Pelodiscus sinensis: one gene and its partner. The protein of the gene in region 2 purifies or fractionates together with the protein of the main gene of each other region. This does not show direct contact. Links are inferred from orthologs where the notes say so. Each region holds a gene or a part of one and is shown on either strand. Other genes may lie near its edges.

Region 1 (7,377 bases), on a different chromosome or scaffold from region 2:
AATGCCCTTTGTTCTCCAGTCTACCACTTGTCTCTTGGGAGCAACAAGCAAATATAATACAGCCACTCCCCGACTTACAAACACACCGACTTACGACCAACATCCCATTAACCATATTATAATATTTTTGAGTTGAGAACCAAGTACGTCAAATTTTTCGAATAGCTCAGGCAGCATGTTTAAAGATATTTTCAACTTATTACCAAATCGAGTTACAAACGGGTTACAACCAGGTGTTCGGAATGTAAGTCGGGAAATGCCTGTATCAGGATCACAAAGCAATTTCCTAAGTAGTTTTAAAAATGCTGTTTAGCTTCACTGGCTATTAGCTTCTGCAAAGCAACTTAAAACAAGTCTTGTCACAGCATGATTGTCTATCCCATTTAGCCAATAGTTTGCTATCAGCACTGGTACTTCTACAGACCTATGTAATTTGACAAGATTTGCACATTTGCAAGAATTTAACTTAACATTCTACAAAAATCTTAAGTGTGCATCTTACAACTATGACTTAATAGAATTTCAGTCAGCTGTTACAGAACTTTTTAGCCAGACTCATCTCAAAACACATTACAAACTATAACTGATGTACAAGCTGTACAGAGAAATCCATCACCCACCAGTGAAATACAGCTACCACTGGGTGGGAAGTGGTAGTATTGATTAATGTGCAGAAACACTATTCAACAGTTTAGCAACGGCTTCTTTATCAGTTTGAATCTGAAAAAGGATTTGAGCAAGGTAGAATAACACTGCTCACATTAGACCAAAACACTAGTTCACACTTTAGCAAAAGTGAAAAGTACAATTCTTAAATTTCTAAAAATGATGATCAAAACGTTCTTTTAGACTCCATAATCCATCTTCAAATACATCAAATCTCAATATTACAAAAGGGCATCCAGCTAAGGCCAGATGAGTACCCAGGAGTCATGAGTACTCAGGAAAGACCCAACAAGGAAAACAACAGAACACCACTGGTTGTCACCAATAGCCCCCACTAAAACCCCTCAAACACATCATTGATCATTTACAACCTATCCTTAAAAAACAAAACAACAACAACAAAAAAACATTCCTCACTCTCACAGACCTTGGGAGACAGGCCTGACCTCACCTACAGACAGCCCCCCCCCCCCAACCTGAAACAAATACTCACCAGCAGCCACACACCACAGAAACACTTACCCAAGAACCTATCCCTGCAACAAACCCCATTGCCAACTTTGCCCACATATCTATACAAGCGACACCATCACAGGACTTAACCACATCATCAGGAGCTCATCCATCGGCACATCCACTTATGGGATCAATGCCATCATGTGCTAGCAATGCCCCTCTGCTGTGTATATTGACCAAACCGGACAGGCTCTGTGCCAAAGAATAAATGAACACAAAACAAATATCAAAAGTTAACATATATAAACCTCTAGTAGGAGAACACTTCAACCTCCCTGGACAGTCAGTAATGAGTTTTAAAGTAGCCATCCTTCTAAAAAAAGCTTCCAAATGAGATTACAAAGAGAAACAGCAGAACTGCTATTCATTTGCAAATTCAAAACAGTCAAATTAGGACTGAATAAGGATTTAAATTGCCTTTGTAATATGTAGTGAGGTAACCAATTTTCCTTCTTGGTAATTCACACCTCCTCCTCAGCTTCTATGCGTGAACCACATCCACCCTGACATAATTGGCCTCATTAACACTATTCCTACACTTGATAAGTAACTTCCTTCATACATATATCTCTATCCCTACCTCTGTTATTTCCACTCCAATTCATCTGATGAAGTGGGTTTTACTAACAAAAGCTTATGCTCAGATAAATCTGTTAGTCTAAGGTGCCACGGAATGCCACACTATTTTTAAGATTGTAAAACCCTCCAAACATCAGCCATCATGATTCATTTGGGGTGGAAGAGGTCACAGAACACTAGAACTGGAAGGGACCTCGAGAGATCTTCAAGTCCAGTCCCCTGCCCTCACAGCAGGATCCAGTACCATCTAGACCATCCCTGATAGGTGTCTTTCTAACCTGCTCTTCAATATCTCCAGAGATGAAGATTCCACAACCTCACAAGGCAACTCATTCAAGTGTTTAACTACCCTGACAGTTAGGAAGTTTTTCCTAATGTCCAACCTAAATCTTCCTCCCTTGCTGCAGTTTAAGCCAATTGCTTCTTGTCCTATCCTCAGAGGCCAAGGAGAACAATTTTTCCTCCCTGCTCCTTGTGACAGATACCTGAAAATTGCTATCATGTCCCCTCTTAGTCTTCTCCATTCCAAACTAAAGAAGCCCAATTCTTTCAGTCTTCCTTTATAGCTCATGTTCTCTAGACCTTTAATCATTCTTGTTGCTCTTCTTTAGACCTTCTCTAATTTCTCCACATCTTTCTTGAAATGTGTTACCCAGAACTGGACACAATACTCCAATTGAGGCCTAATCAGCGCAAAGTATAGCAGAAACAACCTTAAATTTTGTAAGGTTTAGGATTTGAAGTAGATAGGTAACTCATCAGCACTAGAACAGGGAAAGCATTTAGGTCTTGTCTATGCTAGAAAGTATTTTCTATTACAGTTATACCAGCATGACCTGCAGTGGAGGTGTAATGCACATAGCTCATACCATAGGTTCCCCCAAAAATGAGCTAAACAAGTAATATGACCTTTTTTACCCTTACATAACTGTCTACAGTAAGGCTTTGGCTTTATTGACATCTCATAACACTGTGGGAGGTTTTTTAAAAGAACTTTGAGTTCTTTGTACCCCTATATGATGCTAATGAAATCTCACCTCCAGATCAGCTACCAGAAGTGGGCCTCATCCTCCTTGATTGGATCCACCTCATCATCTCCAGCCTGATTCTGGCCTGCATATTTATATCTGCCTCTGGAAATTTACACTACATGCATCTGACGAAGTGGGTCTTTGCCCACGAAAGCTTATGCTCCAACACTTCAGTTAGTCTATAAGGTGCCACAGGACTCCTCGCCTCATGTGCAACAGTGTTATCAAGTATTATTACAGGGATAATCAGCTAAAAAGACATTGCAAGTTTTATCTGTTTTCCCATACCTATTAGAAATCTGTTGAACTGAGTGGGAAATGAAGAAATTACAATTTTTTAAAAATCTAACTCCTCCTCTCCCCCTATTTCTTTTACTCTCGTTATTCATGGCAGGCACTCATTCACTGCTTCTCAGGTTTGCAACATAATAAAGTAATAAATGAATAATTGTTCATATCGATTTTACTTACTCCATTAGGCATATTATAAAAATTAATAGGTTATACCTAAAATCCATAGAGGATGTTTATTACCCTCATTTGAAAGATGGGGAAACAGAGAGGTAGAATGCTCAAGGGACTGTCTCACAGAATCTCAAGGGCAGAGTAAGGAACAGCAGTGTGTGAAAGTAATCGCGGAGAGAGCAGGATTCTGTTCATTTGTTGAAGTGTAGGAGCATAAGCTTTTGTGGGCAAAGAAAGCTTATGCTCCTACACTTCAGTTAGTCTATAAGGTGCCACAGGACTCCTCGTCGCTTTTGCACATTCAGACTAACACGGCTACCCCTGTGATACTTGTTCATTTGTTGTTTCACAATTAAATTAATGGAGATTGCCTATCTCCTAGAACTGGAAGGGACCTTGCAAGGTCATTGAGTCCAGCTCCCTTCCTTCACAGCAGGACCAAGTACCATCCCTGACAAACTTTTGCCTCAAATCCCTAAGTGGCCTCCGCAAGGATTGAACTCACAGCCCTGGGTTTAGCAGGCCAAAGCTCAAGCCAGGAACTATCCCTGCCCCACAATGGTACCCTAAACCGTCGTGACGGGTCCCATTCTCCCCAGCGACTTCCCCGCCCCTGCCCGGGCGGAGCCTAGGGAGCGCGGAGCCGGGAGCGGTGTATTGGGGCAGTGGGTGCTGCTGTGGGGCGCTCAGGGCCCCCCGCCCCCAGCGAGGCGCACGCACAAACCACCCCCCCACGCCACGCTCGCCAGGCGCCTGCCCCGGGCCGGCCTGCAGCAGCCAGGGAGGAATCCCCACGGGCCGGCTCGAGAGCGGTACCCGAGCCCCGCCTGCCCGATACTCACCAGCCAGGGGCTCTACTGACAGCATCCAAGATGGCGGGCCCCGGCCTCAGAGGCCGGCCCCGACCCATCCCAGCCCTCAGGCCTCCTAGGGAAACGGCGCCTCCGCCTCCCCCGGGCCCTTCCCACGCTTTGACGCTACGGAGGTGTCCCCCTCCCCACCTCCTTCGCGCCCTGAACCAAGATGGCGGGCCGGCCCCCCGGGCAATGCCAGCGCCCACATCCAAGATGGCCGCCGCCAGCTTCGTCGCCCACCGCGCCTGGCTCCCTACCTGTCCGAATCCAAGATGGCGGCGGCCGCTGGCGTGAGGCGCGATCCGAGTCACGTGACGAGGGGGGGGTGTGGAGCGTGTCCCGGCGGAAGCGTGAGGGACCAAGCTGGGAACGGGCTCTGCTGGCGGCGCAGGAGCGGCCTGGCGCGCGGCGACCGTCAGCGGGGTAGAGCGAGAGACACGGCTGTCACCACGGAGCCCAGCGGTGCGAACGCGGCGGCCACCGCCGCGTCCCGGGCCGGGGGCACTGGAGACCAAGCGCCTTCGCTGCCCCCGCCCCCACCGCGGATGCCGCGCAGGAAGGTGAGTGCCGGGCGGGGCAGGGGGGTAGGTCTGCTTTGTCCTTGTCTCCCTCCCCTCCCCCAACAGGCCCCCACAGCCGTGAAAACCGAGTGAAAATAGCGGCCTTCTGCCCCCTGCTCCCGCCCATCTTGCTACCTGAATGGTTCCCCAGTAGGGACTGCTGAGCACCGATTGGTTACGGCGGCTATCACTCATCGCCTCAACGGTTGCCTTCTCCCCCTCCCCCTCATCTGGGGCATGGTCAACCTTCTTGACTTTCTGATTGGACACCGATTTGGAGCTCTGGTCGTTGATTGGCTGAGCCTTGCGGTACTGCTGGGCGGTGATTGGACATGCTGTCTGCCCGTCTCCGCCCCCTGCGGTCGCCTCCCCACGCGTGCCTTGTTTCCCCAGTTCGCTCTCCCTTCCCTCCCATTCAGGCTGCCCTCCCTGAGTGGCTGTTTCTGGTGCCGCCAGGGGCACGCTGATAGGCCGGCGTCTCCCATCAGTCACGCCCTGGGGCCGGGCCTCTTTTCTCACGGACGTTTCTATTGGAGAAGCTTCCGGTCCGCCCCGCCTCTCTTCGGCCGCGATTGGTTGGACCAGGCGGGGGCGCGCGCCGGAGCGAGCGGTAGTAACGCGGCGGGTGCAAAACAGAACGGGCCGCCGGGTGCGGAGGGGCGCGTCGCTGCTTTGCTGGGGGCGGGGCGCGCGCCCGATTTCTCACCGCCCCCCCCCAGCCGGGATTGTCCCGTCAGCGCCCCCCTTTGCCTCCCTCCCCCCCCCGGTCCCTGGTGTCCAAACGGTGCTGGAGCAGCAGCTGCTGAATCTCACTAGCCAGGCTCCACTGGCCAAATCGCCACATGTAGCTAGTGGCTGGAGCACCCCGACCCTGGACCGCCTCGCCCTCCCCACGCGGGACCGCCTCGCCCTCCCCCCGCCCTCCCCACGCGGGACCGCCTCGCCCTCCCCCCGCCGCCCCACGCGGGACTGCCTTGCTCTTCCCCCAGACTCTTCTCTCTAGTGTCCCGTTGTGTTGGGCTGCATTAACCCTCCCACGCCCCCCCCCCCCCATGCCTCAGCTCTCCCGCTACATGTCTCTCTGCCATCTTCCTTCAGGCTGCCTTATTTCTCCTCAAATATTTCCTGATAACGCCACACCACACAACACACACACTGTGGGCTGCTTTAGTGTTCCTGCTATACCACTTGCCTCGGACTGTGTTAGTTCACCCCTCTCCCTAATGCCCCTCTAGATCACACAACTATGGACTGCCAAACTCGCCCTTGATGGATTTCCTCAGGTGTCCCTTATCCCCTCAAATTCCCCTGGGCTCCCTCACCTTCCTCCTCTCCAAACTCGCTGGCTACGTCTAGACTGGCATGATTTTCTGCAAATGCTTTTAACGGAAAAGTTTTTTGCAGAAAAGCAACCATGCCAATCTAGACGGTTTTGTGCAAGAAAGCCCCGATCACCATTTTTGTGATCAGGGCTCTTTTGCTCAAAACAATACTGCGTTGTCTACACTGGCCCTCTTGCGCAAAAGCATTTGCGCAAGAGGGCTTTTGCCCGAATGGGAGCAACATAGTATTTCCGCAAGAACACTGACAATCTTACATGAGATCGTCAGTGTTCTTGCACAAATTCAAGCAGCCAGTGTAGTCAGCTGGCAAGTTAGCTGCTTTTGCGGAAAAACTTGCCAGTCTAGACGCAGCTGCTGTGTATAGGAGCATCTAGAAGATTCAGGATGATGCACTTGTATTTGTGAACCTGCCATCGCATGAAATCCTGCAGATTCAATCAATCCAACTCTGGAACACAAACCCTGCCCCAGTGGGATAAGGGAATGGTCATTTGATCATGGCATGTGTAGACCTGGGCTCCTGTCTTCCCTGCTGCTAACTCTGCTAGTGCTTGCACATCACTAGTATGCATTGGGTCTTGGCTCTGCTTTTTCACTTTCTTTCAAGAGCATCCTTTCAGAGGTAAAAGGGAAGCTCTGCTACGTATGTGTAGTGGTTTAGTGAGCACTCTGGAATGAGAGTAGTCTGTGTGGTACCTTTTGTGTTAAATTAGCAAGTGTCGGAATTGCTTGAAACTTCAGGTATGATCTTCATAAATGAAATTGGTGCTATCTGTAGATTTTCTAGATTTTGACCAGTTTGCAAAAATTCTGAATTGTGGATGGTGCTGTCTGATATCTCATGTTTATTGTATTAAAGCAAGTTCCAAAGCAAACTACCTGAGTGTCATTAGTTTTTTGGGGGTGGGAGAGGAGGGAGTATTGAATATTTAGTATTATAAGAATGGAAGTGCTCCTGTGCTAATGTTTGGGTCTGTGGTGTTACAGAGGAATGCAGGCAGTAGTTCAGATGGAACCGAAGACTCCGATTTCTCTACAGATCCTGAGCACACGGACAGCTCTGAAAGCGATGGCACATCTCGACGATCCGCCCGCGTGACCCGTTCCTCAGCCAGGCTCAGTCAGAGCTCTCAGGGTAAATACCTTTCTTCCTAGCCTCACCAGACACAACTGGCTGGCCAGTCACAATATCCTTGGCTTGTTAATACTTAAAGGAATTTTAGTGAATCTATACCTTTAGTTTAGTTAATCTCATTCATTATTTTCTCTCATTGAACACAAATGTGCCAGGGAAAGAAACAAAGGCATTGCAAGGATGCATTGCATAAAATAGGTTGTTCAGTCTAATGATTAAAGAGGGGGT
Region 2 (7,637 bases):
TTAAAGTTGCTTGGTAACACATAGCAACCAAGAAATGTTCCCCCAAGTGCGTGCATGTGTGTGTCAGTGGCTCAGTCTCAGATGGTTCCCCCCCCCCCCCCCCCCGTAGTGTCTAGATACATTCCACATCTTGGCCCACTGCCTCCATTGTTACTGGAACCCATTGAAGAAAAGGAGACTGGAGAAGAACCTCTAGATACTCCCTCTGCCCCAATATCTCTTCTTCCTTAAATGAGGTTATCACTTCAGAGTCAGCATTGTGTCCTTCTGATGACTTTTAAAGTTTTTCAAGAACTCCATTAGGAGACTAGCCTCATCCTTGATGATAAAAAGAGAACTTGTGCAAGACAGTTTGTGCAGACTGTTGATTTGGATTGCCCTTGCCATTAATAAAGCCTCACTGGAACCTCTGAAGACCTTTTAGCAGACAACTTGCTGTAGCCCACCCATTGCCAAACAGACAGGCTTTGTGTTCCTCAACAAGACTTCAGGTATTTCTTTAACTGTCCCATTACAGACTCAATGATCACAGCAGCAGATGAATGTTTGAGGCAACTTCAACCCAATAGGAGACTGGATCTTTGTGGGAAGAAGGCATATATGATTGTGAGCCTTCAAATGAGTGTGTCAAATTATTTGTCACTGTCTAAATATACTTTATTAACTTATCAGCAATTTCAAAAATTTTGGTCAAACTGCCCGAGCAATTCTTGACCGTAGTTTTGTAATGTCATCTCATGACTTGTACATCTCTCCATCTAAGCTATGTCTACACAACAAAGTTTTTGCGCAAAACCAGCTATTTTTGCACAGAAACCAGCAGAGTATCCACACCTGAAGTGCATTTTTTGCACAAGAAAATCAACGGAACAGAGGGCTTTTGCTTCCACGAGGAATAACTCCTTTTTGCGCTACATCTCTTTTGCAAAAAGGCAGGTGTGGACCCCTATGGGAAAAAGCACACGTGCTCTGATGGCCATTCTGTGAATGGTCATCAGAACTTTCTTGCGCAAGAGTGTCTATGCAGTGTGGATGCTCTCCCGAGCAAAAGCACATCACTTTTGTGATGCGCTTTGATGTCTGGACATGTTTTTGCACAAGAAGTTTTTGCTGAAGACCTCTTCCACAAAAGGCTTTTTGCGTGAAAACCCTGCAGTGTAGTCAAAGCCCTAGCGATTTATGCATCAGACAGAGTAAGACATAGGGGCATAGGTGGTCTGGCTTAATGGTTACAGCTGGGTGGGTGTCCTCAAGTCAAGGACAGCCACAAGATGGCGGTCAGCAAGCAGGGACTGCAGTAATTACTAGAGCTGGAATTAATAGGCAGGAGTCCGGTTAAGAGTCAGCTTGGGTCAGAGATCAGAAATGGTGGTCATGACACTGGAATTGGGAGTCGGGGTCAGAGTTGTAGGAGTTAGAGACTGGAGATCGGAAAACAAGGTGAAGCCTTGAGTTGCACCTGGTCAGAAATCTGTGTGACTTCCTGACAACTTCCTAGGACACTCTCCATGGTTAAATAGTGAGCATGAGCCAGTCAGAAGTCTGCAGGATGCTCTTACTCTGGACCTTTTATGGGATATGTCTCATGGTGCCTAATCTCTACAGGGCTGATTGTATATGGCTCTGCATGGTCTCCCTGTATTTGTGTGAGAACACCAGCTGTAATAGACTTCACAGACCTTGGTTCTAGCCCAGGAGTGGGAAAAATCTGTCTCATGGGCTGGCTTCAGCCAGGCACCATCTTGTAGCTTGGCAGGCCCCTCAGGTAGGCTCCCTGCCCCCATATGCCGCTCAGGGTGGCTGGCTGCAGGAGCCATATGCTCTCTGTGTAACATGAGCCAGGGAAGGGGGGAGGGGCCCTCGCACATTGCCTGCACCACAAGTATGGCCCAGGCAGCTCCCATTAGCCAGTTTTTGACCAATGGGAGCTGCAAGATTGTGCTCGGGACAGGAGCAGTGCGCAGGTCCTTTGCTCCCCCTCGGTGCTTACAGCATTCAGAGAGCACATGACCCCCACAGCCAACCACTTCGAGCAGCATGCAGGGGTACAGAAGGCAAGGAGCCTGAGAGTCCCACTGGGATGCTTGCCAGGAGCTGCCTAGGTAAGTGCCTCCTGGCCAGAGCCTGTATCTGACTCCTTAGACCCTCTGCTCCCCCTCCTTCACTCCATTCCCCAGTCCAGATCACAACCCCCTTCTAGACCCTGCAACCTCTCCTGCACGTCTCAATGTCAGAATCTTCTACCCCCTATCCCGAGTTCCTTTCTGCACCCAAGTACTGCCTCCATTAGTGTCATGGAAAAATGTGGCCCTTGACCACTTACCAAATTCTTGAAGTGCCCCCCCCAATCAAAAATTATTGCCCGCCTCTGTTCTAGTCCCATTGATCTTCATAGTTGGCTATAGCCATTTCTATGAAACATTCTTCTTGGTATCAGGCCTCCAGTATTCAAAAAGAGCTTCAAAATACAGGGGAAGTTTTACCATTTGAGGATACTAAACTGTTCTCCCAGAACACCAACTCTTGCGGAGCTCTTTGTTTGCTTGGTGTGTACATCCTAGTGCAGAGTGTCCCCACTATATGTCCAAGATACTTTTAAAAAAAGTGGATGTATAGTGAAAGGACATAGAGCAGGGAATTTTTTCCCCATGCTTGACTTCTGTTTGCGTGATTGGGTTTGGGTTTTTTGTGCAACGGAAGAGCGGGGAATGGGAGCACTGAAAATGAAACCGTTCCCACAAGCATCAACAAAGCTAATGCGGAACCAACATATACCAGGGTGACTTATAGCAGAGATGCCCTATAACAAAAAGTAAGCAGTGTAAGTCCCAAAAGCAGTATAAACCCTATTATCAGCAGAAGCCTCTAGATGGAGTTCTAAGTTTTCTATGCATCATCCACCAGCATTATCTCTAACAGGCTTTCTCTACACAAGATGTCAGTGATTTTTGAAACCAACTTAAAAGCTGAGATCTTTATTGGCCCACATCTGGGCAGAACTTATAGTATTAGTGTCAGTAAAAACACGGATTCCGTTTTCCTTAAAGCAAAGCTTTGTATTCTTTCAAAGATGTTTTTCATTTGAAAGAATCACAGGCAGGCAACAAAAGGCTATGCAAAAGGCTAATAAGTCCTAGGTCCCCAAGCAGAAGCCCTCACTAGCTCCTGGGCTAGTATCCTAAATGGCAAACAAAGCAGCTGTGGGCTTCTGTTTCTTCTGAAACACTTCATCTGTCAGGTATTTCCTAGGACAGAGTGGTAGCTACCCTGAAGCCCTCTAGCTCAAACTTACCTGATACAAGGGTGTTGGTTGATCTGGGGCTTCTTGTTTTATCATGTCACCAGTCTCTTTTTAAATGTTAAATTGTATGGAGAATGAGCATAGGATATTTTCCCATACTTGTATCCTTTTTCAAAGGAGTCACATGTTCCTGAAATATGCCACACTGGCATTTCATAACTTGTTTCTCTGATGTGTTTGGAAGGGACAGTAGGGATAGATTGACATTTACTTTCTCATCAATCATTCACCTGAGCTCTAGCTGTTGTGCTGTCTTAGAATGTCATTTGACCCTGAACTGTCTCCTCTAAGGTCACCATTTACATGTTTTTATGAGATATGTTTGGTGAACATGACAGTCCATGATGTCCATAGTTCTCTGAGAAGTACAAATACACACACGGCCCTTGATTAAACATCCAGAGTACATAGTTGTACTAGCGTTCAAGTGTACTATCAGTACTCTCAGTAAATTTCCATATATCCTGTCTGAGGCAGAGAATCCTGCTCCCAGAATCCTCAAGTAAATTGAGATTTGCCAGCCTTGAGTCAACCACAGCAATTCATAATACCCAGCACCATCCCAACAGTCCCTTCTCAATATCCAGTTACTAACAGTGATTTTGATATTACAACAACAACACCAATTATACCTATTATTTTTGGGCCATGTGTCTCCTTTTTAAGTTAAAATGACATTTTGCAGTCTTCAGTTGTATAATTTGGCAATTAAATTTTTAAAGGGTCCCTGTAACGTTTGCTTTTTCTTATACTGTTTACATATTTGATGCACAGGAAAAACAACACTGTTATTCCAGGAGTCAAAAATACAATTATCCATTGATTCCCACACCACTCATTACATGACACAAAGTGTCATACTGGGTACTTATTTGAGAATCTATATCTTTTACAGCTTTTTCAATCATCTTGTATTTTCAAGCAAGTGCACTTTTTATACTTATTAGAAGATTTGTTGTCTGTTCTGATTTAGTGTTCGCACGTATGTTGTATTTCCATGTCTTAATCTTTATCATTTCCTCTATTTCCTCTAAATTTGGTAGCATCTATCTGGGTTGAGGTATATGCTTTTATTACCTGGGGTGTCATTGGTAAATTTATATTGGAAGTTAATTATTTTCCCCCTGCATACACCACATTCCTCATTCCAGGTACCAATGCTGCCTTTGCAAGATCTTGAAGATCAAATGGGAAGACAGGCACACTAATCTCAGTGTTTTGGAAGAGGTAAAGACCACCACTACTGAGGCAATAATCATCCGTCAGCAACTTTCAAAACAGGTCCTGTTTTCTCAGCTGAAAGAAGGATACTGTAATGTGCAGGGCTTAATGAACCGCGGTGAAAGCCGCTTGCCAGCCCCGCACTGCGCATGTGTAAGAGCCGCATTTTGCATGCACGCGTTGCCGGTAAATGGGGCACTGGGCTGAAATCTACTCTCCAAGGGGCTTTCTCCTTTGATTAAACTCTACTGTTTTCAGCACTGCAGTAAACCTGTTCATGGAACTGAGTTTACAGATCAACATACAAAAATCAATCTTTTCCTCTGTATGGCCAACCTCAGCTTGATAAAGGCCAGAGCATCCCATGCTGCAACACAGGTTCCACACCTTGGCCATGCTTATAGAGACAGCCCTCAAATATCAGCCAAATGCTGCTTCCGTCTAGGGCACATGGCAACAGGCACAGATGTGATACCTCATTCCAGACTTCAACTGCAGTGCCCCCAGATGTGATTCAGCTCAGTCTAAAGACTGACTAGACATAGATTAGACTGCCACTACCCACTAAGGGTGTGTCTAGACTACATGCCTCCTTCGACGGAGGCATGTAGATTAGCCAGATCGGAAGAGGGAAATGGTTTCACGAGGCTTACCTGTGTCGATGAAGAAAGGCTTCTTTGTCGGGGCATCGCGTCCAGACTCCCCCGATCTGCCGACAAACAGCTGATCGGCAGATCGGGGCAGCCATTTAAATTTAAATGAAGCCGCGATTATTTTAATCGCGGCTTCATTTCCCTCTTCCGATCTGGCTAATCTACATGCCTCCGTCGAAGGAGGCATGTAGTCTAGACACACCCTAAGATAAAAAACTCTAGACTGGTGGAAAAATCCAATGAACATTTGCAAGATGATTCCCTTTCCTCAGACTTCTCTGATGTTACCACCAAAATCATGCCTCGTAGTTTGGCTGTGCACTCCATCCAAACTAAAAACACTGAGCAAATGGTTAGCCCCAAAAATGTTCTTCCATATGGACCTCCTTGAATTCAGGGCAGTCAGAAATACCTATATCCATCATCCCACTGACCAAGGAACACACACAATAACCTTAACAGACAACATAGGACAGGACAAGGAGTAATGGGCTTAAAGTGCAGCAGGGGAGGTTTAGATTGGACATTAGGAAAAAATTCCTAACTGTAAGGGTGGTCAAATATTGGAATAAACTGCCAAGGGAGGTGGTGGAATCTCCCTCTCTGGAGATATTTAAGAACAGGTTAGATAGACATCTGTCAGGGATGGTGTAGATGGAGCTTGGTCCTGCCTTGAGAGCGGGGGGCTGGACTCGATGACCTCTTGAGGTCCCTTCCAGTCCTATTATTCTATGATTCTATGATAGCATGCATAAATTGGCAGGGAGGAACCAGGTGCTCTCTCTACTCAGAAGTACTAAAGTTATAAAACTGGTGCAGTTCCCACATCTACCTTCTGGGAGTACAAAACTCAATGGACAGTTGCAATTGCAAATTCCCCCATGATCATGAATAGAAGTTAAACCCAGCAGTGCTTCATGACCTATTTAGGCAGTGGGGGGCACCAAGTGCAGGAATGTTTGCCACTTACCTGAACAAGAAATGCCAACACTACTGCTGCGGAGCAGAAATAGGGGAATGCTTGGGAAATGCTCTTTTTTCCCCATGAGACAGGGACCTTTTCTATGCCTTACCCCAGTTTCCCCTGCTCTCAGGAGTCCTATTAAAAGTAATTATACATCATACTGATTGCTTCCACCTGTATAAAACAGATTTGATATCCTCACCTAGCATGCTCAATCTCTCTTCAGCCCACTCCATCTGTTGCAGAACAAAGGATGCACTCTACATCCCAAGCTGAGGATACTTTTCCATCAAGCTCTTTTATTCTGGATCATAGAAAGCTCCTGCTGAAGGGAGACGCAAGAAGTATTCCTACACAGTAGAAGATCCACTACATGTCATTCTTGTATACTCAGGTTTGGTGTATTTCACAACAAATTTCCCCAACATACACTGCTCTGCCAGTGGACCTAGACTATGTACTAATTCTCAGAAATTCAGGGTTCACTCAGAGCTCACCTAGCAGCAGTAGCAACTTTCATCAACAAGTTGTGGGATTCTCAATGCTCTCATGCCAACCACAAAACAGTTGTATAGTATAGGAAATCTTTTTATATAGGAGTATAGTAAATCTTTTCTCCCAATCCTGCCATCCCACTCCTACATGGGAACTAAGTCTAGTGTTGAAAGGCCTGACTAGACTTCCCTTTGAGCCTGTGACTATTTGTTTGCTCCCAAATCTGTCAATGAGAGTGGCCATCCTGGAAGGAGAATAGGGGAAATAGCAGCTCTGATGGCACATTCCCTCATACAATATTCTTTCCAGACACGGTCACACTCGGATCACATCTGCAGTTCACCCCCAAGGTGACCTGTTGTTTTCACAGAAATCAACTGAACCTTCACACAAACCTTCTTACCTTCTACTCTAGCCTCACTGTGATAACAGGGAGTCTGAACTACTACACACTAGATGTTATGAGAGCCTGAACCCTTTTACTTGGATAGACCAGAGGCATTTAGAAAGTCTCCCAAGCGTTTTATTTCTATGGCAGAGAGATCCAAGGTCTCAGTAGTATCAACTTAGGGACTCTCCAAATGGCTCTAAAACGGTATTAAAATATGCTGTCAGGTTTGCAACATAACACCTCTATCCAATATTCACACTCACTCCATGAGGTTGGTCTGCTTCTCAGTTGCTGCTGAACTGGCAACATAGTTGTGTTTCCATATATATGCAGAATATTATACAATTACTGGAGAATCGGCTTCTGATGCCATCTTTGGTTCCACAGTATTTTCACCCGTAACTGACTCAAGTAGAAGCCCCTGCCCACCATTGAGGATACAGCTCAAGCGTCACCTGCACTGAAACACCCCATAGAGAGGCTACTTGAAGAAGAAGAGTTGCTCACCTTACGTAGTAATGATGTTTTTTTGAGATGTGTCCTCTTGTGGGTTCTCCACAACCCACCCTCCTCCTCTCTACTTTGGAGTTCTTTCAAGGACACTGTGGTAGC

The links. Proteins that work in one complex are often made in the same cells at the same time.
Region 1: the proteins of ING4 (region 2) and KAT7 purify together in Homo sapiens (affinity purification with western blotting; 6 studies listed by BioGRID and IntAct, with this or other methods). This does not show direct contact. The link is inferred for Pelodiscus sinensis from reciprocal best matches to the Homo sapiens genes ING4 and KAT7.

Annotation. Positions count from the first base shown.
Region 1 is NC_134739.1:15,008,822-15,016,198, forward strand, and holds the start of KAT7 (histone acetyltransferase KAT7), read left to right. Parts: upstream 1-4,369; 5' UTR 4,370-4,383; coding exon 4,384-4,671; intron 4,672-7,001; coding exon 7,002-7,149; intron 7,150-7,377. UniProt on the Homo sapiens protein: Catalytic subunit of histone acetyltransferase HBO1 complexes, which specifically mediate acetylation of histone H3 at 'Lys-14' (H3K14ac), thereby regulating various processes, such as gene transcription, protein ubiquitination, immune regulation, stem cell pluripotent and self-renewal maintenance and embryonic development.
Region 2 is NC_134711.1:138,605,891-138,613,527, forward strand, and holds the start of ING4 (inhibitor of growth protein 4), read left to right. Parts: upstream 1-4,615; 5' UTR 4,616-4,630; coding exon 4,631-4,675; intron 4,676-7,637.